2 linked regions of the Astyanax mexicanus genome follow. The protein of the gene in region 1 purifies or fractionates together with the protein of each later gene. This does not show direct contact. Links are inferred from orthologs where the notes say so. Each region holds a gene or a part of one and is shown in the gene's direction. Other genes may lie near its edges.

Region 1 (16,012 bases):
AGCAGACAGAGACTGAAATATTCTATAGAAACTATAAACTCTCTCACTCAGTTACTACTGTGATCATATGTGTGCTATATGTTACAGTATGTTACAGATCTCTGCACCTTATTCTCACCATGTACATTTAATTTGTACCATATCGTTCACGCACTGTCCTGTCTGTTAAATTGTCTCGTCTGTAGTATTTACTGTATTAATTGTATTATTATACGTCTATGTTGCACTATCATTACACGTTCCGGAGTAACGTATATGCGTTACACTGTGTACCTGTACTCAGATCTGTTGACCATAAAAGCCTCTCACTTACTAAAACTATTATTTAGCATTAAAGTGTTACAATTATTGCATGATGTTCCAATGAAGCTCTAATAACATTAATATCTAGACTGAACTTCTAATAATATCAATATCCAGAATAAAACTCTAATAACATTAATATCAAGAATGAAGCTCTAATAACATTAATATCAAGAATGAAGCTCTAATAACATTAATATCCAGTATGAAGCTCTAATAACATTAATATCCAGAATGAAGCTCTAATAACATTAATATCCAGAATGAATCTCTAATAACATTAATATCCAGAATGAAGCTCTAATAACATTAATATCCAGAATGAAGCTCTAATAACATTAATATCCAGAAAGAAGCTCTAATAACATTAATATCCAGAATGAAGCTCTAATAACATTAATATCAAGTGTGAATGAAGCTCTAATAACATTAATATCCGGTATGAAGCTCTAATAACATTAATATCAAGTGTGAATGAAGCTCTAATAACATTAATATCCAGAATGAAGCTCTAATAACATTAATATCCAGTATGAAACTCTAATAACATTATTATTCAGTGTTAAGCTTTAATAACATTAATTCCAGAATAAAGCTCTAATAACATTAATATCCAGTGTGAATAAGGCTCTAATAACATGAATATCCAGAATAGACTTCTAATAACATTAATATCCAGTATGAAGCTCTAATAACATTAATATCCAGTGTGAATAAAGCTGTAATAACATTAATAGCCAGAATGAATGAAGCTCTAATAACATTAATATCCAGAATGAAGCTCTAATAAAATTAATATCCAGAATAACATTCTAATTACATTAATATCAAGAGTGAATTAATCATTAATAATAATAATATCCATAATTAAGGTTTACTGACTTTAATATGCAGGATGAAGTTCTAGTAACATTAATAACTCATATGAAACTCCAAAAACATTAATATCCAGTGTAAATGAAGCACTGGTAACATTTATATCCAGAATAAAGTTTTAGTAAAATGAATATTAATCAATTTTAATATCAGCAGTTTTTAAAACTGATCACTGAATCTGTAAAGTCTGATTAGTAGTATAGAAGTTCATCACTTACAGTCATTGCTGAAAGGCCTGGTCTGAAGTGTCCTGATGTCCAGTTGTTCTCTTTATGCAGCTCTGTCCATTTACACTGCACTGTCCTTCTGTCCTTCTGTCCTTCTGTCCACTGAGCTCAGCAGTGTGCAGGAGCCACTTTATCAGCTGTGTATCTTTTAGAGGCACTGCCTGTTCTTCATACACCATGTGGCTCTGTGTGTGTGTGTGTGAGTGTGGGTGTGTAAGTGTGTGTTTGATTGGTCTGTTCTCTAACAAGCCCTACCCATCTTCACTAACATATACTATCTAGTCCTGCTGCCTATCTTCAGTGTCTGTGTGCATCTCTCTCACTCTGCTACATTTAGGCTACTGTTCTGCAGGCATTCTTCTGTGTGTGTGTGTGTGTGTGTGTGTGTGTGTGTGTGTGTGTGTGTGTGCGTAGATAAATGCATGACTATGTAAACCAACTGTTTTCCACTGCTGTTTCTCACTAAATAAGTCTTAATAAAACAATATTAAAAACTGTTTTTAGACAAAGTTAAACGGGACATATCATGCAAATCTTGGGTCTCGGCTGCCCCTATAAACACTGAAAGCCCAAAAAAATCCATCCATCCATTCTCTGTGAATCAGCTAAAAGATCAGGAATCATTTGCTTTTTGATCATATGCAAGAAAACCTGCATGGAACATGCTTAGAACCCCCTCCACAGAGCCCCACTCACTAGATCTAGTTGAAGATCAGCAATTTCGCTGGTTAAGAATCTCAGACAGTACACAGCAGGATTAGCCAGCAGACTTCGTCTGGAGAGGGATCTGTACATACTGTCCGTGGAAGGTCAGCAGATAAGGGAGATATAAGCGCTTTCGAATAGTTTCTTTCAGATGAACTAGCTTTTTTTGTTTTGCCATTTAGCACAATCTAACACTAACGTGTGGTAAACGCTCAGCATAGACAAGTGGCGTGGCTAGCAACAGCTCATTTGCATTAAAGTGTCAGAGCTGTTAAGCGGCTCAAAGGAAAGGATTGAAAGGCACAGGATGCTTCTAAACTATAGATCAGGGGTCGGCAATTAAGTTTGGCAGCGGGCCAGATATTTTCCAAGCTATTAATGGCGGGCCACAAAAAAATAATTATATTTTGGAAAATTAAGTGTAATGGGATGGAGAGCTACAGACTAGTAGCTCTCCAGCCCAGAGGGTTGTTGAACCCAATTGCAGAACAGTTGAATTGAAATAAGGTAAACCCAAGAAGAACGGAAAAAACACACACTGCTCCTTACGCGGGATCGAACCTGTGTCGCCACTGTCGTGGTAAAATAAACTACCACTGCCCCGACTAGTGAATTGGGACACAGCCAGAAAAAAAAAAAACGCCCTCATAAGGAGCACAAGAATGGGTGTAAAAACGAGAACAGGTGGAAAGTATAGTCACGCCAAGCGCGACAGGGAGAGACAGGGGAGGAATGTAAGCAAAAGCTCACCAGAGAAGCGTTTTACTGTATTATTATCGTTCATTATAGTTCAAACAAACTCACGGGCCAGATGTTTCATGCTTGCGAGCCACATCTGGCCCACGGGCCGCATATTGTCGACCCCTGCTATAGAATATAGATTTTCTCTGATTTACAGCCTACAATGTTGAGGCCAGGTAGTTAATCATAATACATGATCTATAAGCAAGTTTACCTCAATATAGCTTGGGAGGAATGACTACACACTGACAGTGAGTCTCTGAAACTGGAGGAAACACCCAGTATGCAAATGCATGGTATCTGAATCCAATGGAAAAGAAGCTGCAAGTAGCGACAGAGTAAACTTGAGCTGATTCAACATAAAGATCACATTTAAATGTATATGTGGCCACAAATGTTCATCTTACACAATGGTGGCATGTCTGTAATTGGCTGATTGGCATGCACTTTAGATACTGTGGACTAATTCAACAAACTTGATACTCTTTTTCTCTCTTTCAGCGGCCCACAAACAGAGAGGACCACCGGGAATTTTCTCTGTACTCCCAATGGCTAGTCCCATCCCTGTTCAGATGCAACTTAGCAAACCTTGGGACTCCAATGCATATCTGCAAAGCAGGTCACAATGTGGTCCTATGTAGCTCTGAAGAACCATTTTTTGGGCAAATTTCCAGAATTCAATGGGTTTTTAGTGTTGACACGGTTCTATACAGAACCATACCTGTTTTTACTAAAGAAGATGTGAGGAACACTGTACACAGAATGCTGGGAGGTGGTGCCTACAGACTCCTGGAAAATGGACAGAAATGGCTCTTCAGATCCTCTCCAGAGGCTTATCTGCAAAGCTCTAACAATCCAGTCTGTCGCTTCACACCTCCCACTCCCACTTCTCTTTTTGACCAAACCTGGGCATTCTGTCACTTGTTTGAGTGACAAAAGCAACAGCTGAAATCTCACCTTGCGGAAAGGCTAGCTGCAGCCCCCCGCTGGCCTGGAGCCAAACCCTCCTCCACCCTCTGCCAGTTTTCATTCTGTCTATTTTTCTCCCTCCGCATGTCTCAACACCTGCCTTTGCCTTCTCGAATGGATTTCCCATGATACAAACATGGCAGGGCCACTTCAGCTTACATAAGGCAAACAGTCCCTGTTATCGCGACCGTGGCCATGCAGCTTTCTGCAGCTGCCCCCCTCGCAAAACATGCTGTGATACGCACAGCGAATGGTCAAAAGTTGCACAGTAGGTGCTAGAAATTATCAGCCCAAGAGTGTGCATGTGAACCATCCCGGGCAGCGCTACATGAACTCAGTGAAAAGTGCTGTGGTATTAACACTGTTAATAAGACTCAGAGGCTACTGACTCGCACCAAGCAAAAAATGAGAGCGAAAGCCATGTTAAGTGTCTGAACTGGGTTGTTTCTTTAGTTTTATGCAGGAGCTGGAAGGCTATTGTAGCTAACATAAGCTTACAGTCATAAGCAGACATCCCACCCTGTTAGAAGCTGGTATAGAACATCTGTAGAACGACTGTTGGTGTCTGTCTAGGTTGTTTTCAGTCAGTGGCGCACCAGTGTTTTCAGTTGACAAGATATCAATACACCAAAAATGTACCTGAACACACCTTACTTTCAGACCACTACGCCCACTGGTGTAGATATATTCACAAGCACCATTGCTATTTAAACGACACAGGGCAAAGGCGTGAAAATAGACCGTTTGCAAGGTGTAAGATAGCAATAAGCATTGTAAGACGATTTGCACAGGGTGTAAGATAGGGTCAAAAGCAATCTAGGCAGACCTCAACAGTGCTGTGATATGAACACTGTAAGATTCAGAGGCTACTGGCTCGTACCAACCAAAAATGAGCTTTCCCTCTTTGTATAAACCAGAGAAGGCCATGATAAGTGTTTAAATTGTTTTTTTTTTTTTTTTTTGGTTTTTATTTTATGTTTTTATGAGCTCCAAGGCTAATGTAGCTAACAGAAGCTTACAGTCATAAGTAGACATCCCACCCTGTTAGAAGCTAGTATAAATAAGCTTCTGAATATAGCAATGAACATCTGACTCATGGCGTCTCTTTAGGTTGCTTTCGGACAATGGCACACCTGTGTTTTCAGTTGCCAAGATAGCAATACACCAGAAATGTACCTGAACACACCTCATTTCCAGACCACCACGGCCACCGGTGTAGATGTATTCACAAGCACTGTTGCTATTTAACCGACGCAGGAAAATAGACTATTCGCAGGGTGTAAGACAGCATTGAGCATTGCGACACAACTTGCGCAGTGTGTAACATATGGCCCAAAGCAATCTAAGCAGACATCAACAGTTAGATGTTCATTGCTATCTTGGCGTGCACAATGTACCACCACTGCGCTTGTTATCCACACATGCAAAAGCAGCAGTGCACAAACCCATACCATGTGCCAAAATACATTATTCTGCATCAACAAAAATATAGGTCACTGTAATATAACTTTGGTAAGTGTTAGCTAACCATGCAGGCCAATTTCCTCTGCAGAGAAGCACCATTTAAATAGCAAAATGTCAGAGTGCACATGGCTCTCAAAAGGAATGGCAAGTGAAATGCTGATTTGCTGGTTTATTTCACATTATGCAAAAAAGGCACCCATGATTAATTAAGAAAATTTGTGCATGCCTCTATCTATCTACTGTAATCTATTTTGAGAGTTTATCATTTCCTATACTTTTGCAAAATTTCATATAAACTGTGGATTAGATACAGATGTTGATATTTTGTCTCATGTTCATCTTTTAATGTCAAACCCAAATGATATTAGTCTACAGCAGAAGTAGAGGGGTTGGTTCCAATACTTTTCGAGGGGACTCTATACTGCTGTCGTTGAAGTTCAGCACATCCACCTGTAGCCAATTTGTTATTCTGTGTTCAAGGTATACAGTGTTCCTAGTCCCCAGAGATCTGGACATCTCTTGGAAACATAACTCGATTTCACAACTCAGTTGAACAGCGAACAGTGATTTAAGTTACTACTACAGGCTGTCCTGGTCCGTCCCACATGTACACTTCCATGTGTAATGTTATTTCAGCTGCCGAAGGAACATCGCGCACCAGTAGAATGTCCAAACTGACCCTGCATTAAAATTAAGATGTTTTCCCATGACAGCAGTGATGATATACGCTCTCCTAAACTGAGCAGGCCACCCTCCACTTACAGCAGCAGGACATCGCCCCGAAGTGGACACTGTGTGCTACAGCAGAAGATGACACTTGTGGACAAACGATGGAAGGTGTTTATGTCAGATAGTCATACCACAGAATCCTTGCACAACAATAGTTTAGAGTTACATCCACCCCCCACACCAACAAATACCTAGCTTTAAAAAGCCTGAATGCAGCAGATTGTTTTAGTCCATGTCAGAATTACTTATGACAGGTTATACGTCTTTAACCTTTGGTTAAGTAGATGGCAGGCGGCCTGTGTGCAGGCATGGCTCTCAGTCGCTGCGTGCACTGCACATTTTTATATTTTCTTCAGCCCTGACTCAGCTCACACCATGCTGGATGATCTGATGAGCTGAGTCAGGCGTGTTAGTGGAAGGCTGTGAGATGGGAGTAACAATGACTGGCTCACAGTCTAACCGTGTGATACACTACGCACTATACTGTTAGATTGTATATGTTACTCTTTTCCAATATTTTTATTTATTTCGAAAACAGTTAAAACACAGACTCATTTTGTTCTTATAATGCAAAGCTATATTATCGTAAACATCAAAAAAAAAAAAAAGTTGCCATCTGGATTTAATTAAATAAATGATCTGGAGTTGCTGCAGTTGGTCTGCAGGTCTGGGTTCAGCAACAGTATGTGCTGATAGAATGAGGTCAGCTGACTACCTGAATATACTGAATATAGACCAGGTTATTCCATCAATGGATTTTTTTCCCCCTGATGGCACAGGAATATTCCAAGATGACAATTTCAGGATTCATGGCATGAGATCCATATTTTTACATTTGTTTTTACATTTATTTTTACATTGTTCACCACAGAGTCCAGATCTTAACCTCACTGAGAATATTTTGGGATGTGCTGGAGAAGGCTTTGCAGACTCTTCCATTATCATTGCTGCAAGATCTTGGTGAAAAAGTAATGCAAAACTGGATTGAAATAAGACTTGTGACATTGCATCTCTGCACAGATTATCTTAATACTAGGCTTCATACATCTGCTATGTACTTGCTGGAGTGTGGGCACACGTGTGCAGTTGTGATGGATCACAGTATAAATAGTACCAATAGGGTGCTGGAATGGTATATGTTTATGCTCCATATCCAACACAATCAGATTCTCTCTATCTGGATGGAGAGATGTATCTCCTATAGTTAAGTCATTTTTACCTAAGTAAGGTAACAAAGTATTTGTACTTCGTTTCTGGGCACCTCCGGTCATGGCACAAATTCCCAGGTGTGCCTACAGCTTGAGATACAGGCCAGTACAGTACTTGTATTTGCCCTTTGTTAGTAATGGAATGTGAAGTATGCTGGAATAGGACTTCCAGTAAGCCTGGGCAGAGTTTTCCGACCCCTGCACATGCTAGCCTTCACCCTCCCTGGTTTGGTGAGCCCCGCTAGATGATTGATAAATTATGGGAAAAACAAAACAATGTAAACTATTTCCTGAGTAAATGAGTGATACTGTATTTAGTCCGACAGGAACAGGAAAGTTTTTTTTTTTAACAGTGTACCATCATTGATTTGTAACAAGTTTTAAGCATGATGCAAATGCAAGTTGGTTTTATTAGTTGCCATAACAACAAAAAACTTTAAAACAAACAACGACAGACAAACTAGTAAACAAGGACTAACAAAACCAGAAACAAAACAAACAAAAGTTAAACTATAACAAACCAGTAGTCAAACCAACAAACAAACTAAGTAAAGATAATAAACCAGTAACAAAGCTAAATACTATGATTGTTAAACGTAGCATCTTAAAATAATGACTTAGAATATTAGAATTTAGCCTCAAAGCTAGCTAACTCTAGCTACTGCTGTGTATAAGCTAGGATATATCAACCCAAACATATAGCCTTGTTAGCTACATTATTTAATGTGTAATAATCAATAAGGCACATTCTGGTGGATAAGCAGTAATAAAAAAAAACATTTATTGATGTAAAATCAGAAATATACACCAAGAAGGGTGAAACGTAGCCAGCATTGGGTGGTCCTTTTCAATACAATAAATACATCAGCAATTATCAGTTTTTTTCTAAAATAATTTTATTTCTAATTTTTCCCATTTTTCTCCCCAATTTACACGGCCAATTACCCAACCCACTCATTAGGACTCCCCATATCACTAGTAATGCCACAACACACCAGGAGGGTGAAGACTAGCACATGCTTCCTCCGATACATGTGAAGCCAGCCACCGCTTCTTTTCGAGCTGCTGCTGATGCAGCATTGCCGAGCAGCCAGCGCGCTCGGAGTTTAACGGACTTCTGACACAGACACTTACATTATTATTCTGCCACCCTAAAATAAGTAATTATTTTAAGATACTTTCTCATTATTTTTGAGATAAGTTACTTTATTATTTTGAGATACTATGTCATTACTTTGAAATACCATATGTGGTTACTGGAATGTCTTTTGCTTAAAATAAGGACTTAGTATCTATAATTAGCCAACTAGAATCTCAAAAATAATGACTTAGTATCTCAAAAACTTCTCAAAATAATGATTTAGTATCTCAAAATAACAAATTTAACATCTTAAAGCAACTACTTAGTATCTCAAAATAATAAGATAGAACCTCAAAATAATGAGATAACATCTCAAAATAACGAATTGTATGTATATTTTGAGGAATTTAGTGTAGTTTTAAATGACACTGAGCGTAAACAACCTGTTAGCTACCTCTACTTACTGTTGTGTATTAGCTTTTTATGTTATATCTACACGTGTAGCTAGCAAAATTTTTTTGTTATTTACACTATTTAACGTTTAATTATCCAAAAACACGTTTTGGTGGATATATGCTTTAATAAAATAGCACGGACTGCTGTAAAATCATAAATATTAAAGGTGAAAGGCACGGTGAACCGGGGGGTGCGGCCCTTCCGCTGAGAGGGAACGGAAGCGGAATCGCCGCCATCTCCTCGTAGCGAGCAGCTCCAGGGTCAGTACCGAGTTTACTGTGGGAAATACGGTGGATGAACCGCTATCGAGAGCCACACGACACGGGGTACGTGTAGAATGACTGTCAGACGTGTGGCCGGGCACGGAAAAGCGGGTCTGAGTGAAGCGGAACGGCCGCAGACAGCCGTGTGGCGTGAGGTGGTCGCTAAACGGTGAGTGGAATAGGGCAGAGGTGGTGGATCCAGGTCCGTGGTGTGAAAATCCTGCGCCGCGATTTCACTTCTACTGCATGGGCTCGCAGGCTGCAGCGGAGCCGGCCTGGCAGTCGGAGCGAAAACCCGGATTTTTAAACCGCGGACCTGGGTTCACCACTATTGGAATATAGTAGTTAGCAGTACCTATGGTTATCTAACCTTAGCAACGACGGCTAGCTTACGGTTTTTACGTGTTACTCCAATTAAAACTGTTAAAGCGAGTTTAGAATATAGGAGAATTAAGTATAATCTGTTGCAAACTTCCTTTTCAAGCATGTATGCTTTTTGTTTCGTTTTTAATGCTTAGTAACGTTTAAAAGCGAGGAGTGTAGACTGGCTGTGGGTGTGGGGTTGAGCTAACAGCTAATGTTAGCTAGCTAGTGTTGTCAGTAGATAAAGCTATGCATGTATAGCTATGAATATAGATAACGTTAGGTAGGTAAATAGACAGATATATTTTCCTGAGGCTAATTTACAAATTACAGCAGCCCATTGAACAGAAGTGGCAAATATAAGCTTGCTACGTAAGTAGTAAATAAATAAATCTTAGCTTAACTAACGTTAGCCACTAAGGATATACGTTAGAATGTGTAGGTAGAATAAGTAGGTAGAGAAAAATACTATAAAATACAAATACAGCAATATAATAAGAACTACAAAGTGTCCGCTGGAAGCAGTAACGTTATATAGCAGGTAAAGTAACGTTACGTGTGAAAAGTGTGTGTGTATTGTAAACATTCAGTAGGTTAAAACTAACTAACAAGTGTGAGTGAATTAAGGCTGCAAACAATCTTTCCAAATGTGTCAAAACTATTCTCATTCATTACTATTCAGGTAGAATACATAGTATAGATATTAGAGTTTAAAGTACTTTTTCAGTAGAAGGTAAAGTATCAGCTCAAGCTTTTTACTCTTTAAGTAAAAGAGTAAAAGTACTGGATTCAAAACTACTTAAAGTAATAAAGTAAAAGTAATGTAAGGAGGGGAAAAATGACATTAAGGATAAAAGCCACAGAGTCCTATAGTCCTATAGAGTCCTATAATGTTATATTAAAATGTTAATGTTGAACAATTTGGAATGCACTTGGCTCTCTAGTGTTTCAGCTGCATATATTCCTATTGAAAATGAAAGTATTTTAGTACAATGTAAATATGAAGTTCAGTTGGACATCTGTAAAACTCGAGTTCTTTTGAGTCTACATACTCATCTACATACTCATCTACATACTCATCTACATACTAGGCTACATACGTCTGCTATGTTCTTGCTGGAGTGTGGGGGGCGTGACATGATGTGCAGGTGTGATAGATCACAGTATAAACCAATAGGGAGTCGGAATGGTATATGTTTATACTTCTCTACATCCAATTACAATCAGATTTACTCTATCTGGATGGAGAGATTTATCTGGATAGGGCTTTTATTGGACGATGAGGGTCGGAATGAAAACAAGCTGAAATGAAATGAATAACGAGGCTATTTTTAAAATGTAAGGAGTGAAAAAAGTTCAGATAATTGTGTGAAAATGTAAGAAGTAGAAGTAAAAAAGTGATAAAAGTAATTACTTTAGTAAAGTATAGTTAACGAAAATTTGTACTTAAGGAAGGTAACAAAGTGTTTGTATTTCATCACTTTACTATGCTTGCTTGGTTAGTAGTCAATAAATAAATAAATATAACTAGCTACTATTGATATTCAATGTGTAGCTACATATGTAGATAAATAACGCTACAGTAAAAAACAAATACTGCAATTTAATAATAACTACAAAAACAGGTCGGAGTCAACCACTGTAAACATCATAACATGTACATTTTGTGTGTGATAGTTGTAAATATTGGAAGAAAAATATTTTAGAAAACGTGGATACGCTGTGGAAGCTTGTGTAAGCTTTGTGTCTGAGAGGATGCAGGGCAGAAAACTCTTTCCAGTGTTTTTTGAGATCTAGTTAGCTAGATTGCTGTAATAAAGTTGTGTAAAGTTGTTAGCAGCTGTTGTTGTTCTCAGCAGCTGAAGTGAGTTATTAGCTCACTGTTAACATTTCCTGTTTCAGTGCTGTTTGCTCTCCGGTTTAAGGTTTATGTTAATTAGTACAGAGTGAAACGCTGCTTTTGATTTTGCTGGAGCGGTTAGGACTTTGCCCCAGGCATCTCCACACCAACTCTGGAGCCGTTATCAGTGGGCCGGGTTGTGTAATCCTGTTTGTTCAGTGTGTCATCTGCCACTCCTTATCACTCTGACATGTAGTGAGATATAGGGCTGGGCGATGTGACTGAAGGGCAGTGTCACGATACTGGGAGACGATATGTGTCACTGGAGAGTGATAAGTTGGAGCAGGCAGGTCTTACAGTGCTAAAACTGTCGTTGTACACCGCAGTGCAGTTTGGGTTTTTGTGCAAACAAGTGGTTCACAGATATTCGTCTAGCACTAGTTGTACGTCATATGTTGATGCTGTCTCACAAATACCTTTTATCTCTGTTTCTCTCTTAATTCTAACATAATTCCTAACTTCTTAACATAATCTCAGCATCTTTTTACGTTGACTTACATTGAAAGCTAAGATAATTAAGGATTTTTCCTCCTCCGATTAAGCCTGATGTACATTGTGCAATTTCTTGACGTCGCAACCTGTTTCAACAAAATTCACTTCAAATAAATCCATAAAAATTATTTTTTTTGTGGAGTGATGGCCTTTGTCATGTGGGTATCTTGCTTCTAGATATATGGAGAAAAAATATTAAGTATATTTTGCTAAAGTGCTCAAATGATATGTGCAGCCATCTACATATAATATAATCTACACCATTTTAACAGGGCACAAGTTAGCAAAGCTATGCACTTTTTTTTATTTTTTATAATTTTATCTAAAATTTTTCCTTATTTTCATCCCAGACCAAATACTCAACCCACTCATTAGGACACCCCCTTTCACCAATGATGCCCCAACACCCCAGGAGGGTGAAGACTAACACATGCCTCCTCCAACCACCAGCCACCACCTCTTTTTAAGCTGCTGCTGATGCAGCATTTCCGAGTAGCATCACAGCGTGCTCGAAAGAAAGCGCAGCGACTTAGTTCTGATACAACAGCTCACAGACACCATGTGCTGAGCGACATCACCCTTTGGAGGGATTTGGGGAGAAAGCACCATCTACCCTCCCAGAGAGAGCAAGGCCAATTGTGCTCTCTCTTAGGGCTCCTGTAGCCGATGACAATTTACATGAACAGGATTCGAACTGGCGATCTCCTTATGCTATGCGCTTTCTTAACATGTTGTGGTGAACCAGGCGCTTGTATGCAGAAAAAGAGCTGCGTTTGACGTGCAGTGGGAGCTTTTCGCAACGCACCTGATTAAAGAAAAATCAAGTAAAGTGCTAAATAAGTCTAACTGTAAGTAAATAGGTTAAATAAATAAAATATTAATTTGAAAAAAAAGAACAACTTTAATGAGTATGCATCAGTGTCTGCAGTTGTATATTGAAACTTAAAAAAATATATATAATGGGATTGGCTATTTACTACTACCTTAGTACTACTATGTACCTTAACAGGAACTGTGTAATGAGCCATAATTGTGGGAAGTCTTTTCATGTAATATGTCTTGTTATTACTTTGTTATTACCTTTGTTTACATTTATTATACTTAAATATTGTCTTAAATTAAAATAGCATTTCCACATTAGTTCTAGGTTAATTTTTAACAACTGTATTTCTGGTGTAAAAACTCAATGGTTTAATTAGTGTGAGCACTAACGTCATAAAACGGACAAATATCTGGAGGAAAAAAGTGTCTAAACTTTTTTACTTTTCAAGCAGTGTGTTGTAGGGTAGGGCCATGTCTATGTTCTTGCTTCAGCTGTTATTGTGTGAACGTGAGCGTTAGCACTGACCCTCATGCTTTCAGTGTTTGTTGTCCAAACATACAGAATCCAGCGGTCACCCCACAGCCTTGTTTAACTTTCTATAGCTGTGTGTATATATGTGTTTGTATATATGACTGTACAGGGTATATGCACTGATCCACAATCAGTAGGGGTAGTGATGGTTTGGTTCACACCTAAATAAACCCCTCGGTTTGGTACGATGGGTAGAAAAAAAAGAGAGTTATTTAATTCATTGTGCAACTTAGGATGTTTTCACACCTGTAGTTGGTTTCTATGATCCAGATCAGTTGATGAGTTTGTTTACCTGGAGTTTTTTCGTCCTCTGTTTGGTTTGGTTTTACACAGGCGCTATTCTAAACGCACCAAAATGCGCACCAATTAACCACTTGACCACATTGTCCCCTCTGATTGGTCAGAGCTATCTGGTGTGGGAGCAAAAAAGTAAATTTAGCAGGAAGATTCTGTGTTCCAGTGTGTATCTGTGCAACTTAAAGTTGCTTTAAAACAAAACGCTGAAATTTTGCCGCTGCACTTTAAAACAGACGTGCAGATGTTTTTAATGACACATGCAGCGCAGATGTACACTTTGTAAACAGGGAAGAAAAAAATCCATTGATGGAATAACCTGGTATATATTCAGTATATTCAGGTAGTCAGCTGACCTCATTCTTTCAGCACATACTGTTGCTGAACCTAGACCTGCAGAACAACTGCAGCAACCCTAGATCATTTACTTAAGTTAGTACTTAGTTAAATCCAGGTGCAGACTGTATTTCAGCCTAGTGTAGATAAAAAGGGCAAAATATAGTATAGCATCTGAATTTGTTCCCTAATTTCTTCCAATTTGGCTATCCAATTGTCCCACCCCTTTGTGCATCCCCATCACCACTGGCACCTGCGACCCTAGGAGGATGCAGGCGAGCACATGCCTCCTCCGACACGTGTGAAGTCAGTCACCCTTTTTTTCGAGCTGCTGCTGATAAATCATTGCCTGAGCAGCTAGCATGCTCAGAGGAAAGCACAGCGGCTAGGTACCGATACATCCGCTCACAGATGCCTCGTGCCGCCCAGCGTGGGGTTCGAACCTGCGACCTCCCGCTCATAGTGGCAGTGCTTTAGTTAAGAGCCACAGTTAGCATAGCAGGCTAAAGGTGTTTCAAGCTGCTAATAGCTACAGCTTAAGTGTTCGGGGCAACTTGCCTCTGAACTTAGTTTCCGCATTGCGTTCATTGGATTTCACACATTCACATAGACAGTTCCTATATTTCACGCATTCCTGAAGAATACATGTACCGTTTCACCCCTAACTACAGGTATTGACTTAGTATTTACTTGGTATTTGCAGGCATTGGTCACTTTATTTCCCCTCGTTCTAAATGAGATTGTTCACAGTTGACAGACAGACAGACGTTAGAAATGCTTGCTTTTATTACACACAGTGATTAAGTGATTTACTGTTAAGAGGAGAAAGGCCGGATCCATCAGTATAACCTTTGTACTGCTGGCGCTGCATTCAGATCAGATATTGTTTTATGAAGAGATGGAATTTAGATGGGTTGGGAGAAGGTGTTGATTGGTATGGATAGAGTAGGGTAAATATGCAAATATGAAATATTTTTTCATTTCTATAGTGGGGGATAGTGATTTAATGGGGATGAGTATGGATTGGATGGGTATGGGTATATACTAATGATGATTTTAGATTTGAAGATCACATTTTATACATAAATTAAGCTCAGCGTACTTTACAAACTGCCAATATAATTACAAGTCAGAAACTGTTAAGACTTTATATAGGGCACTACAATACTTAGAATAAAAAAAACAGTAATCATAAGAATAAAAGTAATATAGAATTGTAATTTAAAATCATAAAAGGCTTAAAATGAGGTAAAAATACAGAATGTTGTGACTATAAAGTAATAAAATAAATGGATTCATATAAATATAAAAGTGAATACAATTATTAATTAAACCTAGTAAAACCTGGGAAATAAAAAAAATATAAAATATAGTTTACAGAAACATTATCTTTGTGGGCAATAATGTCAGCTTAATTATTGAGGTGATTTCTGACGATAACTTAATTATTGTGGCAGGCTTAATTGTGCTTTAAAAAATTATATAATAAAAGGCACATATTGCTATAGGAATTTATTGTGATAAAATAAGATATTGCTCACTTCTAGTGGTTAAATAATATTTTTCTTTAATTAACAGTAAGGCCAAATCAATCTTTTATGTTATAGCTCTTTATCCTTGAAGCTGTAAAATAAATAAAGAGCCTGTAGGCAGTTAAATGTGTGGAGTCTATTCATGCTGATCATATCTCTCACTGCCTTCAGGCTTCACTCTGTTACTGTTAAATATTCTTTTTAATGAGACGGATGGTCCTGTTTATTTTTATTGCTTAGGTTTTTATATTATTTTTTCACAGTAATGTCCCTCAGATAAACAGCTTTTCTGATGTTCAGTTTGTCTCCTGTGTTTCTCTGCAGTTTCTGATTCACCCCGGCTCGTGTGGGCCCTGATGTGGCCGTGTGGAGGTCTGGAGCAGCGGACAGGCTAAAGACTGACCTGAACACCCACACACTGACAGACAGAAAGAGAGACGCGTGTCCAGGTGAGTAAAGAGATTGAACTGCCTGAGTCTGTTTATATTATAGGTCTGTGTATTAGGGGTGGGTGATATGACCCTAAAATTATATCACAGTATTTCTCTCTGTTCCTCTGTTTGCGTCTCTCTCTTTGTTTTGTGTCTCTGTGTCTGTCTGCAGGCTCTGAGTATATGTGTCTGTGTCTCACTGTGTGTCTGTCTGGGTGTTTGTCTGTCTCACTGTGTGTCTTTCTTTCTTTGAGTGTCTGTATCTCTGTGTGTCTGTATCTCTGTGTC
Region 2 (16,012 bases), on another chromosome or scaffold:
CTTTTTATTAGGCTAGCTACAGGTTAAACTTTAATTTTAATTTTTTTGTGACTACTGTGGTTACATTTTAGATATTTACACATTCATTTATTACATTTTCAGACAAACCAAGTCTCCCTGAAGCTGCGGGAGTCTCCCGCATTTCGGTAGTGGCTCCCTGATGCCCGCGAGTCACATATAATCTCCCGGAATTCAGAACGAGTGCCCCAAGAGTGCACTGCACACAGGCGACAGACTTTTTTTTTTTCTAATCGTGTGCACGGCTCTGGGAAAGAGAGAAAACTAAGAGGGTTCTGATTGGCCTGTTCTCTGCAAAGAGTCTGTGAGACAGCCAATCACTTTTTAGTGTGGGCGGGCAGTGTTTTTCCCCCCTCCCGGACGGGATTTGTTCAGTGAGAGAAAGCAGATCATGGCGGAGGCAATATTAATAATTATTGTAATATGATATGAAATGTTTTTGATGTTGTGCAATTTTTTGTAACTGTCAATTTTTGTCAAATAAAGGCTTTTTAAAAAAAAAAAAAAAAAAAAAAAAGGAAAGCAGAGGCAGGGCCTTCCAAAAAGAAAAAAGGTAAAACTTATTTCACCTCTGAATACTCTAAATTTAATTTAAAAAAAAGTAAAATTAATTAATATAAATGTGTGTGCAGAGTTTTTTTTTTTTTTTTTTTTGGTTGGGGGGGGGTGGGGGGGGGGGGGGTTACCTCCCTGAAATCAACTTTTGCAACTTGGGATGTCTGCATTTTTCGGCTTCATTTATTTGTAGTGTTGCTGGATTAAGTTTTGGTTTCAAATTTTAAATTTAAAAAGGTTTAAATTTCCCTCTTTCTTTCTGCAACTGGCCAGTGGTGGAACTTTGAGTGGACTTTGAACTGTTATTTCTCCCTCTCCTTTTGCTGATGCAAAGGGTTTGGACTAAAATCTGCAGTACTGAAGTTTTACTTAATCTCTTTTAAATGGATATTTTTATTGTTCAATAAATTATGGTGAAACTTTAATTCTCTCTTGTGCATCACTGTTAAGTCTGCTGATCCCCAAGGTGTATTTAATTATTTTTAAATTGGGTTAAGAGATTTTTCTTTTCTTTTTTTTTACTAGGCTGTGACCCAGTCATGCATCAAACGTGAATAAATCTTTCCAAATGTCAAAAACCTGTACTATAGGCAGGGGTAATATGTCCCCTTAAACCCAAAGTCAAAACTTTCCAATAGTAATGTCTAGACTCTGGGCACAGTTAATCTGGTGAGAAATTCTGTTTTGTGACTGACACATGGATGCAAACCATTTAAAACTCTTATTACTGCTAACCATCATAATTTTTCATTATTCTTAGCACCACTATAAACATAGCATATTTAAGAGGTGATACAGTGATTTGAATCAATTTATTTTTGTTTTTTAACATGGGAGGGTTTCTTTCTCGTGATTAGAGGGAGTGCTTTCCTTGCCACTGCAGCCTTTGGTCTGCATATCCTGGGAGCAACATTTTTTTTGTGACCTCAACAGTACTATACATACATTTCATTTAATATAAATTTGAATAGATTTGAAGCTGTATAGGTTAATGGAAAACAAACTTAAAACTAAAATGCATTGGTTGTATGGGTTTACAATACCCATACCCATGACAAAAATTACAAAAACAATTATGCAATACATGCAATCAGCAGGCTGCAATACTGATCTTACTCCATACAATACATGTAAAGAACACTTAACCAACATGTTAACTTTAAAGCTAATTTCTCGTTTATTATTTGGACAATGGCTTCAGATAACATTTAACATCATATTGCTCAGAATCATCACCAAGTAAATCCCAAACGTTTCTTGGACTGCTGAATGTCAATGGTCTCATTAAGCTCCTTTATATCTTGAGTAGTACCGCTAACATAATTGGGCATCTGAGCACCAGACTCATCATGAACAAGATAACTTGGCCTAACACCACCAAATACAGGACCCAGTCCTCCACCGATGCCCTCTTTGGCAGCCTTGTGAAGCGGGTAGGTGTTTCTCTGGGCCGCCTTGGCTGTCTGGATCACATGCTTGGCATACTGCTGAAACTGCATCTCCTCCTCTACTATAAGTTTTACATTGCTGGCTTCAAACTTCTGATCTTCTTTTTTAATGCGTTTGCCCAGTTCTCGCTTCTCAACCTAGGTAACAAAAAAGTCATGTTAAATTCCAATAGAATCAAACTGGGGGGAAAAAATAAATAAATTGTACCCACCATCTGATGAACGTAGGTATCTTGTAGTGTTTTGGCATATTCTTTCATTTTCTGCTCTTTAAGCTGTTGCTTTTCAAGAAAAATGCTGTCAGCTTCCTTTTTTGCAGCAAGTGACTCAGCAGCTTTTTGTTTCTCCTCATGATCTATGCGCTCCTTCTCTTGTAGCTGAAATTAAGTAATTAGGACAGTGTTACGTAACAGCGGAATTATATCTTGACAGCAGAGTTTTCTTTTGGTACTGGGATTATAGGTAAAGAGAGTAATTTACATTTATTTCCCTAGTTCAAATACAATTCATGCTTCATGGACAGCAGTACACTTGCATTTTTTTAAGAGCTGAGAGATACAGAACTTGCATCTAAAGTAAAAGAAGCCCATGGCAGTGTATGGAGTATGGAGTATAGACATTTTTACAGATATATGATTTACTCCGCATTACTGGATTTTGTGAACCGTCTCATGCAGTTTCACCAAAGTCACATGATACATTAGCAGTGCTGGTTAAATTGCTGCATGATGTTTCTTTAAAGTGATGATTTTGCTTTTATTAATTAGATAAAAAAGGTCAGGAAATGCCAATACATTTCATTTCAAAAATGTCACTCAGTTTGTCACTCAGGGGCTTCAGACATGTTCTTTCTTCTAAAATAACATTTACCGTAGCTTCTCTGTGTGCAGCAATGGACTTCACCATAGCTGCTTTCTTCCCATCCATCTCACGCTGCTGCCGAATCCGCTTGGCCTCAGCTTGTGCCACTGCTTTAGAGATTAGCTCTTCCTCATTGCTGGTCTGTTCTTGACGCTGTGCTGCCAGCCTCTCAATAATGGCCTCCCTGTGTCTCTGCATCCCTCTGCCACAGATAATTAGATATAAGTACAGGATTCTAAAATAAAAATTTGTCATCACAAATTATTTGTCATAATGTAGATAAATAAAAAGAATAAACACAAAATATCTATATTACTGAATAAAATGTTTAAAATATCAAATACCTAAACAGCATTTCTTCTTTCTCTTTTCTGAGTTTCATCATCTTCTCTTTAGCTTCAGCAAAAAGCCTTCGATTTTCCTCTTCCTGGTCTTGCTTCTGAGCTTCTTGTGCTTGGATGATATCCCTATCAGCCAGGTGTTTCTGACAACATTCAAAAATATATATTCCAAAATGGAAACTCTGGTCTACTTAAAAAACAAACACTATAATTTGCTGAAACTTCTCACTGTTGCTATCATAAATTAATAGTAGAAACTATTGCTAAAGTGGAACCTGTTTAAGACATACTTGATGAGCTCTCATAATGTTTCTCTTCTCTTCTTGCTTGTTCTGCTCATGCATAGATTGCTCCCATAAAAAAAGCTGTCTGAGCCGCTGGATTTCTTCTGCCTCCTTCCTCTCTTCCATTTTCTCCCATGCCTTTGTGTGATCATGCTCCTTAATCCTAAAATGGATTAAGAGTTTAGATTTTTTACAAAAACTTATTATTGACTTTGATTAATCCTAACAAACTGCTTTTGCCACATTCTTCAATCTGTCACTTCATAGTCAGTTAATAAACATAAACATCTGTATGTCCATTTATTTTATACATTACTGCTGCTTTAAACTCTCTGCCACTGCCAGACACTCTTGCTTCTTCTTCAGGGCTTTTTGTTCCTCTATCTGTGAAGCTTCCTCCTCTCTGCGTGCAATCATTGCCAAGACCTCTTTATCCACATCTTTAGAGGCATTCTGCTCTCGTCGTCTCAGCTCAATCTGTGCCTCCCTCTCCTTCAAAACCTCAGTCAGCAACAGGGCACTCTAATGAACAAATTAAGATTAAAAACAGATATTTTGATTCAAAAATTACAATTATGAAAACTTTTTCAAATTTGCAGAATATCAGTAGCATCTGGCAACTTTTACTATTCATGGCAGGCACAGGATGCCAATTTGTTGCCAGAAAGACATTGGAAAATGGGTTGGAAATTAAAATTGGAAATCACATATGTCAAAAACAAACACTGAGTTGACATTTGGTTACTTTCCACCAAAACTATATAATAAAAAATATATCAATGTCTGATAACGTTAGAATTTCACATTGTGTGAATGTTAACATGAATTTTAGCAGATGTTTTTTGTGACCTCAAAACAAATGTCCCCAGTCCTCATTGTCAAACAAATTGTGGTATTAAACAATGTCCTGATGCTGAATTTAGGTCATCCAACATCACGTCCTCCAATCAAACTGATAACATCCAAAAAATTTGGTGCTCAGCTTGGATGCTTACACTAAATGGGCATGTATACAGCTAAGCCAAACACAAAGAGAAATAAAAGACAATAATTTATAAATATAGATATACAAACATGAAATCCTTTCACTCTGTCTGTCTGATAATACTGCTGAGTCTTTGCCCTCTCTATGGCCTCTTTTCTTTTCTGCTCTTGATACTTTGCTTCTTCTATGTCAATGCGTTTCCTCTCCTCCTCTTCGATCTCTTCTCTGATTTTCTTTGCCTCCAACTTTTTTTGACGTTGCCCCTATAAACATATGATGGGTCATATTCCAGAGGTGTTTCAGCAAAGTAGCACGTATATGGATTATTATTTAAAGTTAAATATACAGATACAGATTTCATAAAAAAGTTACTTACAGCAATAGTGTTGGTCCAGTTTTTCACCACCTCTTTGGAGCGCAAGTGCATGGCCTCCCTCTGCTTTGCTGCTTCTATCAGACTGTCCTTGTGTTTGTTCACTTGATTCAGACTGTCCTGGAGACGCAGCCATTCTGATCTGGGTAGGACTGTCACTTGCAGAAGATCTATCGGTTGTCTAGGCCCAGTTTGCACTTCTGCTGAGTGAACTTAGATTAAAAAGGAGTTAATAATAATATACAATCACCATCACACTCAGTTTTTTGACACTTTTTTTATAATTTATGACAAAACCAACAAAAATCCCTTCATTTCCTTTCCTTCAGATTCCTTAATTCATGCAAGACAACAACAATATAATTTGTATGCTACTGATACTAATATTTGAACAATACAAAATACATCCAGATTTCTTAAGGGGGTGGCATCTTATATAGTTATACTTATAAAAAATCTAAGACAGTACAATATTTATTTAACAACCCAATTTTAAGGTTTGTGTTTGCAGCAATGTTTGTGAATAAGATTAGGCCTACACAGTGTATCATTTCTCAACAATGTATCATTTCTCAATTCAAAACTCAGTCTCATTTTCCTTTTCCACCTACCAATATCAGGTATGCACTGAATATTTGGCAACCAAAATTAGGTGAAAGGGCCTAATAAATTATACCAAACAGTGCTTTATGTGCATGAATGCAGACAATACCATTTGGCACCTGATTTGCTGAATAATCCACAGCTGATTTAGATCAGACAAAAGACTAAGAAATAAGATCAGAGCTGTTCTTCATTATTTTTAATTAATTTGTTAAAGTGTCAACTTTGCAGAGCAATCTGCCCTCAGCAAGAAGTTACTGCCTTCTGCCTTCATTTGAGAAGCATGACAAATATACATTTCTGCTATGTAAATAGCATATAACCTATAGAGTGGTGGGAAAAAATTAAAATGTTTTGAAAACCGGTGCATTTCTACCCAGTATTATTTGTTTTTCTAAAATATATGACTATATACTTCTGATTAATGTGATTGTTATTTATATTGTGATACATATCACCAAAAGAAGTAGGATGCAGATCTATATACAATGCTGAATAACTTATCTAGTGTAGAGAGAGTGCCACTAGCTACAACTGTTACCGAAGTTGTGAAATATTTTGGCATTCCTGATTTAGTTATTAAGAAAACAAGCTACTAACCGTAAGGGTTTTACTGCACAGTGGTAACAATGTAGCATTTTATATCTAGTTGGTATTATAAAAATGAGATTTAAAAGAACTGAGGTCTGTGACTGACCTTTCCTGCTCGACCCCTGCCTCCGGCCATACTGCACTGTAGAAACGGTGGTCATGCTGGCAGATTAATTTAAACCAGTATCTGTGAATATATATGAACATATAAGAATATGTGTCATTAGATCCAGTTTCTTTGAGTTTTTTTGCTTCTTCTCTGCAGACCGAGCTCTGCACTCTGAATCTGGGCAAACATGTCCTGGCCCACTACTCGTGTTGCCTAGCAACTGTGTTTGCATTTACAGCGTCTCCTTTGGCAACCTCGCGAGACCGCTCGCAGGAAACCTCACGGAAACGCGAACAACAACGCGAGGGGAAAAAACAATAGTTCCTAACTAAATATTAGCAAATTATAAATGTATATATCAGTCATCTGTATAAGGTAATCACCTGAAATGGGTTCAGTTAACAGCTGTGCTGAACTTGTCAAAAGTTAATTACCTGAATGTCTTTAATGTGTTTGAGAGCATCAGTTGTAAAGTTGTGAAGAGGTAGAGTTGGCATTCAAGTGAATATCTTTATTTGAGTAATGTTTTAATCCATATTATGGCAAGAAATACTCAACTATACTATACAACTATACAATACAGCATATGTACAGGACATACAGGGAATTAAAATTATGTTACTCGCCTTCCCAAGTTACAGCAAGTACACAAAATAAGATACAAAATAAAAAATATGAACCAGATGAGGTAATTCAGGTATTAAGGAAATAAGGAAATTTAGAAAATAAACTGAATCAATAATAATCAATAAAAAATACCTCATATCAAAATATATCCAATCCAAATAGATAATTAAGAATGGTGTTTTTATTACCTTTAATTAATTTGTTAAAGAAATATGAGCTTTGTCAACCTGCCCTCAGCAAGAAGTTACTGCCTTCTGCAATTTTTTACATCAGCAAAGACCAAAAAAATCTACTGAAGAATTTAACTTGTAGCGCAGGACACACAGCATGCTTCACCATCTTAATATCGTATTAGACCGAAGTTTCTAATTTTTTCAAGAGAAATTTCTTCTCATTTCTTTGGTTCTCTTTTTTCTGTTGTTGCATAGTCTTCATATTGAGAATCATGTTGCTAAGGAATCATCTGGTCAATTATCTGGTGCAATAAGCTGTTGTAGTATTTTAGTTATTTTCGACCATAGAGTTATTATTTTAATAATGAATAAATACATAAGCAAACTCAGTCAGTTGAGTAAAAGTCTGTTTTGTGGAGCACAGTCTCTAAAATGTGGGTTTTAAAAGCGGGACTGCATGCACAAAAAAGGGAATGGAGAGCGGTCATGTGATGTCCTAATTGGTCAGATGTTTGAAAGTATGTCAAACATTATTCCATGGTTGTGACTTTCATTACTCTTTAAAAGCGTTCACCATGGGTCAAATTTGGTACTTAGCGTACAACAGCTGACTAAGTAACACACTCACTTTTTCACTTTATTGAACTACAGCTATTTCCGGTCTTAAGTGTTGATAATAGTACACATCATAATACACATCAACTTTGTGTATAGTAGGAGCATAAGGAACAGTTTATTTTTATGCTGACCAGGAACATTTTGCATGCTGATCTTCTGTTGTAATCCATGTATCCATAAAATAAGGCATATGTAAAAAAACTGTTTGGATATACATATGCTGTATATATGTATGTATAAATAAGTGTTAGTTTGTTTGTTTTTGTTTGTTTATTTTTTTTTTTCTGTTTTTCTATTTGTTCCCATTTTTTTACTCTCTTTGCCTCTCCCCAGCCCCTTCAACTCTGCCCCCCCCCCCCAACTATATCTGCTAAATGCTCAACTACAATGATTGCTGTGTCTATCTATCTACATGTTGAAAATTTAAATAAGTTGTAAAAAAAATGAATAATAAAGTAGTATTGCTCCCCCAAAGAGGGAAGTGGTGTCGTGCCAAAAAAATATATATATATATTATTATTATTATTATTGAAAAAAATGATTAAATAATAATTATTTAATTATATATAACTACATGTATGTTTCCTTATGTATGCTTAAAAAATTCAGACTGCAGAATATAATGCATTTTTTGTTATATTACATTAAAAGAACTGTTACAGAAATTAGTACTTTAGTAAGCACCTCCAGTCCCTCTTGTTAGTGCTGCTTGATTTGTTGTGGGCCCTTTCAGCCAGGCCCCTCCCACTCCTGCGTCCCTCCCCAGCGTTCATTCAAAGCCCGGCCACGTAAAGTCTCATGCGATTCTGCGAGTTACGTCCAGAGAGAGGAGAAATGGCCCCGGTATCAATCAGACGCGTTTTAATCAGCGAGAGCGTGGATCCCTGCTGCAGGGCGATCCTGCAGGAGAACGGGATCGAGGTGACGGAGAAACAGAATATGAGTAAAGATGAGCTGATTTCCCAGATTAAGGTAAGTGAGATTCGGTTTGTTTGTGAATCGCTTTGTTTGAGCATGCGCTGTATTTTGTAATATCGCGTGCCTTGCTCATCTCGAGACTTTTCTAAACTTTTTTTGAGCCGGTTTTCTCGGGGTTGGAGCTGCTGGATCAGTTTTGCTGAGCTGCACCGCCATTGGCGCCTCCTCATGAGGCTGATGTAACATCACTGCTGGTGTGGCTGCAAGTCCCAAACCTGCATGCTGGTCTGTCTGCTACTGCACTACTGTGGACTTGGCTGAAGAGGCCTAGGATTTGTCCAGCATTTGCATTTGCATTTTTATACAAATTTATGTTATGTTGTTGGTGAAAATACGATGGCAGAAGAGCTAATTCTTCAGAAAAAAAAGGTTTTTAGACAACCAGAATTGCATATAAATAATTGTGTTCTCATTGAGAGGCTGGTGGTTTTTTTTCCTTCAGTTTTTCACTTTTTGGCATGATCAGAATGTAGTAGTTGTTGTGTACATTATCTACAAATGTAATGATAAATGGCCCAACACATGTTCTTAAATGACTTGGAATAAATTCCAAGTTTTACATACCATGCAATAGTGAGTGTATATAGTTTTTATATTATAAATAATTGTATTAATATGCCAGAAAGACACTTATGTGTGGGGCCTGTATACATGGCTCAACTAGGAACCAAAAAAGTTGGGCGTACTACATTGTCAGGTAATGAAATATGATTTGAATTTGAATGAGGTTGTTAGAGGGTAGTCTTAAAACCAAGAAGCATTGTTTTGCCTGATGATTAGGTTTTCTCAATAAGAGTGGGACACAATTGAGACATAAACAGTGCATCCCTTGGACAACGTTGCAGAAACTGAACAACTACGTCATTACCACAAAAAAACTATTCCACTTACCAAATAACTGTCTAAAATTAGGGCATTAAGTCTTGGAATATGTCCACAAATCACAGCATTGTGACCCTTTATCTACAGGCCGTGACTTTTTGACTTAGCTTGACCTGTCGAACTGACCTCTTCTCCCATCTGTGTCAGGACTACGATGGCCTTGTGGTTCGATCCGCGACCAAAGTTACCGCTGACATCATCGCCTCTGCTGGCAACCTGAAGGTGATTGGCAGAGCTGGGACCGGGGTGGACAACGTGGATGTGGATGCAGCAACCAAGAAGGGCATAATAGTCATGAAGTAAATAAACATCTTTATTACAGGGTGTATGTGTGGAATAGAGGCAAACGTTTAGATTAAGAAATTAAAAGTCCTTCCCAGCATGTTCGTGGTATATAATCTGTATTTTCCTTATTGGCTCTGTTCTGGTTTGAACTTCCATCTGTCTGGTGAAAGAGTTTATTTACTGGATCTGAATGTTCAATTTAATAACACCCATTGTCTGCTAAACCGGCATTTCAAGGTCTGTATTCACTAAACACTTCAGGAGAAAGAAGACTGATCTAGAGTCAGTTTTTAAGAGCTTGACTGTACTAAGCAGCAGTTGATGTGAGCTGTTTAAATACCAATTCCCAGGTTTTACTAGGAACAGCCTGAGCCATTGTTTACAAAGGTGAGCAATTTTGTGTGTTGACAGTGCTTGACGCATAGAGTGAATTTACTTTTCTTTTACAGCACTCCAAGTGGCAACACCATCAGTGCTGCTGAACTGACCTGCACTCTTCTGATGAGTTTGTCAAGGTATGGGAAGCAATTTTAGAGTATAGTAAAAAAAAAAAAAAAAATTTTAACATTAACAACATTTTGATGAAGATACTTTCAGTGAACACTTTGCAGATTGTGGGTTTAGGTTATGTTATTTTGATTTTTTTTTCTCTTTCTTTTTTTTAATAAATACTATAATACAGTGTATAAAAAAATTAACCCTGAAAACACATTTTGATAACCATCTAATCAGAAACTGCATATTTTTGTTTTATTATTGTACTCAAGGCCACATATTTTTCTATTCCTAGACATGTTCCACAAGCTGCTATGTCCATGAAAGCAGAAAACTGGGATCGTAAGAAGGTACACACACTGAAGTAGAGTCTTTATGTGATGGGCTGTTTTGAGGTAGTTGGTGTGGACAGTAATTACGGATGCTTTTGTGTTGTCTGTGTGCACCCAGTCGTCACTAACTGGGTCTGACTACTGGATGTGTTGCATCATGCAGGCTTTTAGGGTAGGTGGGTCAGTGTTTTGTTAATGATTTTACAGTTCATGGGTGCAGAGCTGTATGGAAAAACCCTTGGAATTGTTGGGCTTGGAAGAATCGGGAAAGAAGTGGCCACTAGAATGCAGTCTTTTGGTGTGAGGGTAAGATCTTCTCTTCTGTGTTCTGAACATTTTTAGTGATTTATCCAAACATGTCCATGGATGAAGTGCTGACTTGTGTTATTTATTGGCAGACCATTGGGTATGACCCCATTACCCCTACAGAAGTGTCTGCTAGCTGGGGAGTGGAACAGATGTCTCTGGAGGAGCTCTGGCCCCAGTGTGATTACATCACGGTACACACACCTCTCATGCCCTCCACTACAGGTGAGAATTGACTCAAACATAGATCAGTGTTTCAGGTCAGTTCTGTTGGCCTATTTTTTTGGATGTCTCAGCTTTATTGAGGTACTATAACAGAAAACCAGTTTTCTTTTTTGTTTCAAATCAAGAGTTTGATGTGGTACATAAACCATATGGATGTTTTAGCAGGTAATGTTATTTTGTCAGCGACTCCACATGGTCTTATAAATGGAAACTAAGGCGCAAAAACAGCCCACTTTGAATATAATGTTTTGTTACTTCACAAACTGCTATATATTGATTACAAATCTGCCTTTTCACATTTCACCAGTATTTTTTGCACTATAAGACGCACCTAATTCCTAAATTTGCTTTAGAATCCGGTGTGCCTTATGTATAAGTTTTACCAGTCAGGTTGTAAGAAGCAGTAAAGCCACTTTGCTGAAGTGCAGCGTTATACAGGAGTTTAAGTGCTAGCTCTTTTGCAGTTCAGAGGTATAATAGGAGTATAATCAGACTGTAGTCTGTGCATTTTCTGTATTAAAACAAGCTACATGGGATGAACCGCTTGCTAATTTTGACCTGACTTGCCAGAACACTCAAGGTTCCTGTCGCTGTCGAGTGGCATATACCTCACTCTAGTGCTGTTGTTGATCGTTAATGCTAATGCTGCTGCACCCAGCCTTAGTGGAAATCTGGAAATGTAAGATTACTGTAAATACACAGAAGTGCTTTACTCACCCAAATAAATGTTTTTCAGGAGAGAAATCTGTGTGGATTAACAACCAGTGCTTGTTTGACCTTATAAGAAAAATATTTTTTTTAGAATTAGTTTTGTTAATTAAGCTTATCTTTACTTAACTTATACCTGCTGAATTATAAGAAAAACATGGCAACACATCTGTTTCTTACTAGTGTCGCATAATGAGTCTTATAATCCGGAAAAAATATGGTAGACAAGAAATAAGAACAGAAATAAATGTCATTTACAGTACATAAACTTGTCCTAAAGGCCCTAATTCATAAACAGCCTGAAAAAAAATTAAGAGGTTAGAAGTCTGGTTAAAACAAATCAATAAACAAAAAACACATACATGTAATGGATAAGGGCCTTTTAATCACAAAATAACAGATAAAGCCTGATCTATTGTAGGTTTACTGAATGATGACTCCTTTGCGAAGTGTAAGAAGGGTGTGAAGGTGGTGAACTGTGCCCGTGGAGGCATCATCGATGAAGCTGCTTTGCTCAGAGCTCTAGAGTCTGGCCAGTGCGGAGGAGCTGGCCTGGACGTGTTTGTGGAGGTGAGGCTAGTATTTATTTATTGTTAATGTATCCATCAAATCATATATCCTTAGTGCCAGACACTTGTGTGATGCTATTTTTATAAAATATATGTAAAATTATTGAGAAATATGAGATTGTGCTTCTCTATAATATTTATTTAGGAGCCTCCAAAGAACTGGCCCCTGGTGAAGCACCCTAATGTGATCTGCTGCCCTCATCTGGGAGCTAGCACAAAGGAAGCCCAGGCTCGCTGTGGACAGGATATAGCACTGCAGATTGTGGACATGGTCAAATGCAAAGCACTGGTGGGAGCTGTGAGTATTTCCAGAAATGGGAACGTCGTGAAAAACAACTTTTACTTCTTTGGCCAAAGAAAATAACTTTATTATCTTTATTTTTTTTAGGCATTTAGTAAGAAATGCCAGTCCTGATTGTCTTTACATTCTCACCCAGGTAAATGCCCAGGTGTTGGCCAGCACCTTTACCCCTGAGTCGCAGCAGTGGATCAGGCTGGGTGAGGCCATGGGACGAGTGCTGAAGGTCTGCAGCTCCTCCAAACAACCCTATGGTCATTTGCACATCACAACTCAAGGTGGGCTTCTGACCTCTATATTTCTGGTAGCTGCATGTCATTTAAATGTAAGATGCTTAGTAACTACATAAAGAATCAAAGTGCAGTTTTTAGATTTTTTTAATCCAGATTAAATATATATGTGAGAGAAGATATTCCACAACTGTAGAGAGTTGGACATTAAAGTTTCATTACTGGTTAAATACTGCCCTCTAATGGTCTATGTACTGCATGGTTGCTTACACACAGAAATTGCTTAGTAATATTATTTGAGGGAATGTTGTTGTAGGAACATGTAAAAAGGAATGCAGTTATGTTTGCCTCCAGGTGATTGTTTAAAGAAATCAGCTGGATTCCTGAGTTCAGCAGCTGTTGTTGGACTGCTGACAGAAGGACCAGGGAATGGCCCTAACTTGGTGAATGCACTGCCTCTAGCTGAAGAAACTGGAATTAAAGTAAGGATGTGTTTCAATTCCATGTTCATGATGCAACCCCTTGCTTATAGTCTTATAAACCATACCACATATTTGAATAAAGCACATTTAAACTTAAGGATGCATAAAAATCTCCTAGCAACATGTACTTTAAACCCATAAGCTCAGCAAACTAATTAGCGCAACAAAATTCATGAAGCACTGCGTCCACCTTGATATCAAAGAGTTCATACATCCAACGTGTATCCACATGATGTAAAAAATGCAGGTAAAGTAGTAGAACTGCCAAGGGAAACCTGTCCGCTCTTATTAGATCCTGTAAAATTAACAAATTAACTGTTGCATTGCAACTACTACTTTACACCAACATCTACACAATTCTGTACTGCTTCTGATTGTTTAATTTTAGTAGGTATCTGAATCCGTATTAACAAGTACAAAAATACTCATGCAGTATTTTCCGCACTATAAGTTGCATTTAAAATCCTTTAATTTCCCCAAAAATGTATAAATTTTACCAGTCAGGTTGTAAGCAGCAGTAAAGCCACTCCGCTCAAGTGCGCTGTTGTACTGGATTTTTAATTTAGTTTTCGAACACCAAGACTGAAGCAACGTTAGCCGCTAAGAGCTAATGCTCTTTTGCCGTTCAGAAGTGAGTACTATCTGCCTGTAGTCTGCTGCTAACTCCAGATAGCACTGCTGGGGCAAAATTAGCCGCTAACCACGCTATGCTCTAGCTCTTTCACCGTTCAGAGGCGAATATATAGGACTGTAGTCTGTGCATTTACATGCTACGTAGGTAAAACCGCTAGCTCATATATCCCTGGCTTACCGGAACACTCTGGGTTCCTCAGTGTAGTGCTGTAGGGTGGCATTTACTGTTCGCTGCTAATGCTGCTTTACCAAGCCTTAATGGAAATCTGACAATTTAAGATTACTTTAAATAAAATGAAGCACTTTACTCACTTAAATAAACAGTTTTCTGAAGAGAAATCTGTGTACATTAACTTCCAGAGCTCGATTGACTTTAAAAGAAAATGTTCTTTTTTTAAGAATTATAGATTTGTTTAGTTAGTTTAGCTTTACTGTAACTTAGTTACCTAAACTACTGAATTAAACTATATTATTTGGTTTCACCCAACAGATTAAAAAAAGTCACAGTGACACAAAGGAAGCTGCTGGTGCCTGTATGATGGAGGTCTCTGTGAATGGAAGCATCTATAAAGCCCTTGGCTCAGTACAGGCAGATGTTCCTGTCCTGCTCCAGCTGGATGGCAGTGTGTTCCGGCAACCAATCCCTCTCTCTGGAAACCTGCTCTTCTTTAAGGCTGCAGCATCATCTCAGCTTCTGCCGTCTGTTACTGGTAAGTTAACTGACCTAAAATTAACTAAATAAATTGACTCCTATTATTATAAATCATGTTCTTCTATTTTCATATTATATAAAAATCTCAAAGGTGTTCAAAATTCACATTATATCAATATTTGTTTCTCCTCTTCAGGGGTCTTGGCTGGAGCTGGTATTGAGATGAATTACTTCAGTGCCTCCACTGCCTCTGATGGTGAGCAGTGGTACTGTGTGGGAATGCAGTCCCTGCTGGGAGATCTTGGTTCTTTGAAATCCGTGGTGAAGGAGGCTGCACAACTTGCTGTATAAATCCATACTAATGGAAAGTTACTGGGAATTACTTAGCCTTAGCATTCCATTGCCTAACATGGAAATCTAGCATGACCGTAACATTACTGCAATATAGTGTTTACTGTGAAGAGCCTTGCCTATGTTGGGCTAAACACTAGCTTTGGTCATATGTGAAATGATAATATAGGAACTGTAATTGTTTGCGCACAACATATTTTATCTGATTAAAGATCTGAAAACTCTAAAGCTTGTAATCTAATAAACATTGTTTACTACTGTGAAGATGACCCAATACCAAAAATAATGGATAATAATATGATTAAACAATCTCATACTTTCATATAATTGTCATAAGCATTCGCCTGATATTTTAATTTTACTAGAAAAGGGCAGATGAGTTACTGTGAAAAAAAATGGATTTAACATTTGTTCACTGTAATGCTAATTTAGGTGTGTTTTTGTCCGTTTCTAAATGTTATAAGGTACAGTGGAGTTCAAATATCTGAGACCACTTCTGTTTTACATTTCTTTCTAATGTAATAGTTTTGATGACAAAAGGTAGTATGTCAGTGTGAAATGTAGCATCTGTGAAAATGTAACATGTTTTCAGAATTACTGAATCTGTACTGGTATGAACACCCCATATTTGTACAAAAGCCTAAAAGGAATAAATCAGATCAGAACATTTTCTGAATATGATATTTAATGAAAGGGCCCTGCTGAAAAATCCATCTCACAATGCTTAAATGTTTATTATGCAGTATTTCTAATATAAACTCCCAGTTTAGAGATCAGCTATAAAATGTTTACTTACAGTAATACCAGATCTATAAAGCCATTCGAACTAGACATTTTACCAAGACTGCATATCCTTAGTGTCATTTTGATTAGTCATATGTAACCACTAATTTCTCACAGATTGTCACACACTCTTATCTTTAATTATGTATTTGCTTGTAAAAAATCTAGTTGCACATATCTGAAATTTCTACTAGTCAATGTGTACATGTATGTATGT

What was found.
Region 2: the proteins of epn1a (region 1) and phgdh purify together in Homo sapiens (affinity purification with mass spectrometry; 3 studies listed by BioGRID and IntAct, with this or other methods). This does not show direct contact. The link is inferred for Astyanax mexicanus from reciprocal best matches to the Homo sapiens genes EPN1 and PHGDH.

What each region holds. Positions count from the first base shown.
Region 1 is NC_064413.1:7,059,806-7,075,817, forward strand, and holds the start of epn1a (epsin-1), read left to right. Parts: upstream 1-8,956; 5' UTR 8,957-9,191; intron 9,192-15,617; 5' UTR 15,618-15,742; intron 15,743-16,012. Other genes in the region: uncharacterized serine/threonine-protein kinase SBK3, read right to left, coding at 1,398-1,403. UniProt on the Homo sapiens protein: Binds to membranes enriched in phosphatidylinositol 4,5-bisphosphate (PtdIns(4,5)P2). Modifies membrane curvature and facilitates the formation of clathrin-coated invaginations. Regulates receptor-mediated endocytosis.
Region 2 is NC_064418.1:37,502,629-37,518,640, reverse strand, and holds phgdh (D-3-phosphoglycerate dehydrogenase), read left to right. Parts: upstream 1-8,332; 5' UTR 8,333-8,384; coding exon 8,385-8,558; intron 8,559-9,593; coding exon 9,594-9,745; intron 9,746-10,180; coding exon 10,181-10,246; intron 10,247-10,521; coding exon 10,522-10,576; intron 10,577-10,765; coding exon 10,766-10,864; intron 10,865-10,956; coding exon 10,957-11,089; intron 11,090-12,218; coding exon 12,219-12,367; intron 12,368-12,511; coding exon 12,512-12,664; intron 12,665-12,803; coding exon 12,804-12,942; intron 12,943-13,248; coding exon 13,249-13,376; intron 13,377-14,499; coding exon 14,500-14,719; intron 14,720-14,857; coding exon 14,858-15,012; 3' UTR 15,013-15,679; downstream 15,680-16,012. Other genes in the region: protein CFAP210, read right to left, coding at 1,806-2,159, 2,234-2,398, 2,892-3,084, 3,227-3,366, 3,514-3,670, 3,824-4,029, 4,582-4,755, 4,869-5,077 and 1 more. UniProt on the Homo sapiens protein: Catalyzes the reversible oxidation of 3-phospho-D-glycerate to 3-phosphonooxypyruvate, the first step of the phosphorylated L-serine biosynthesis pathway.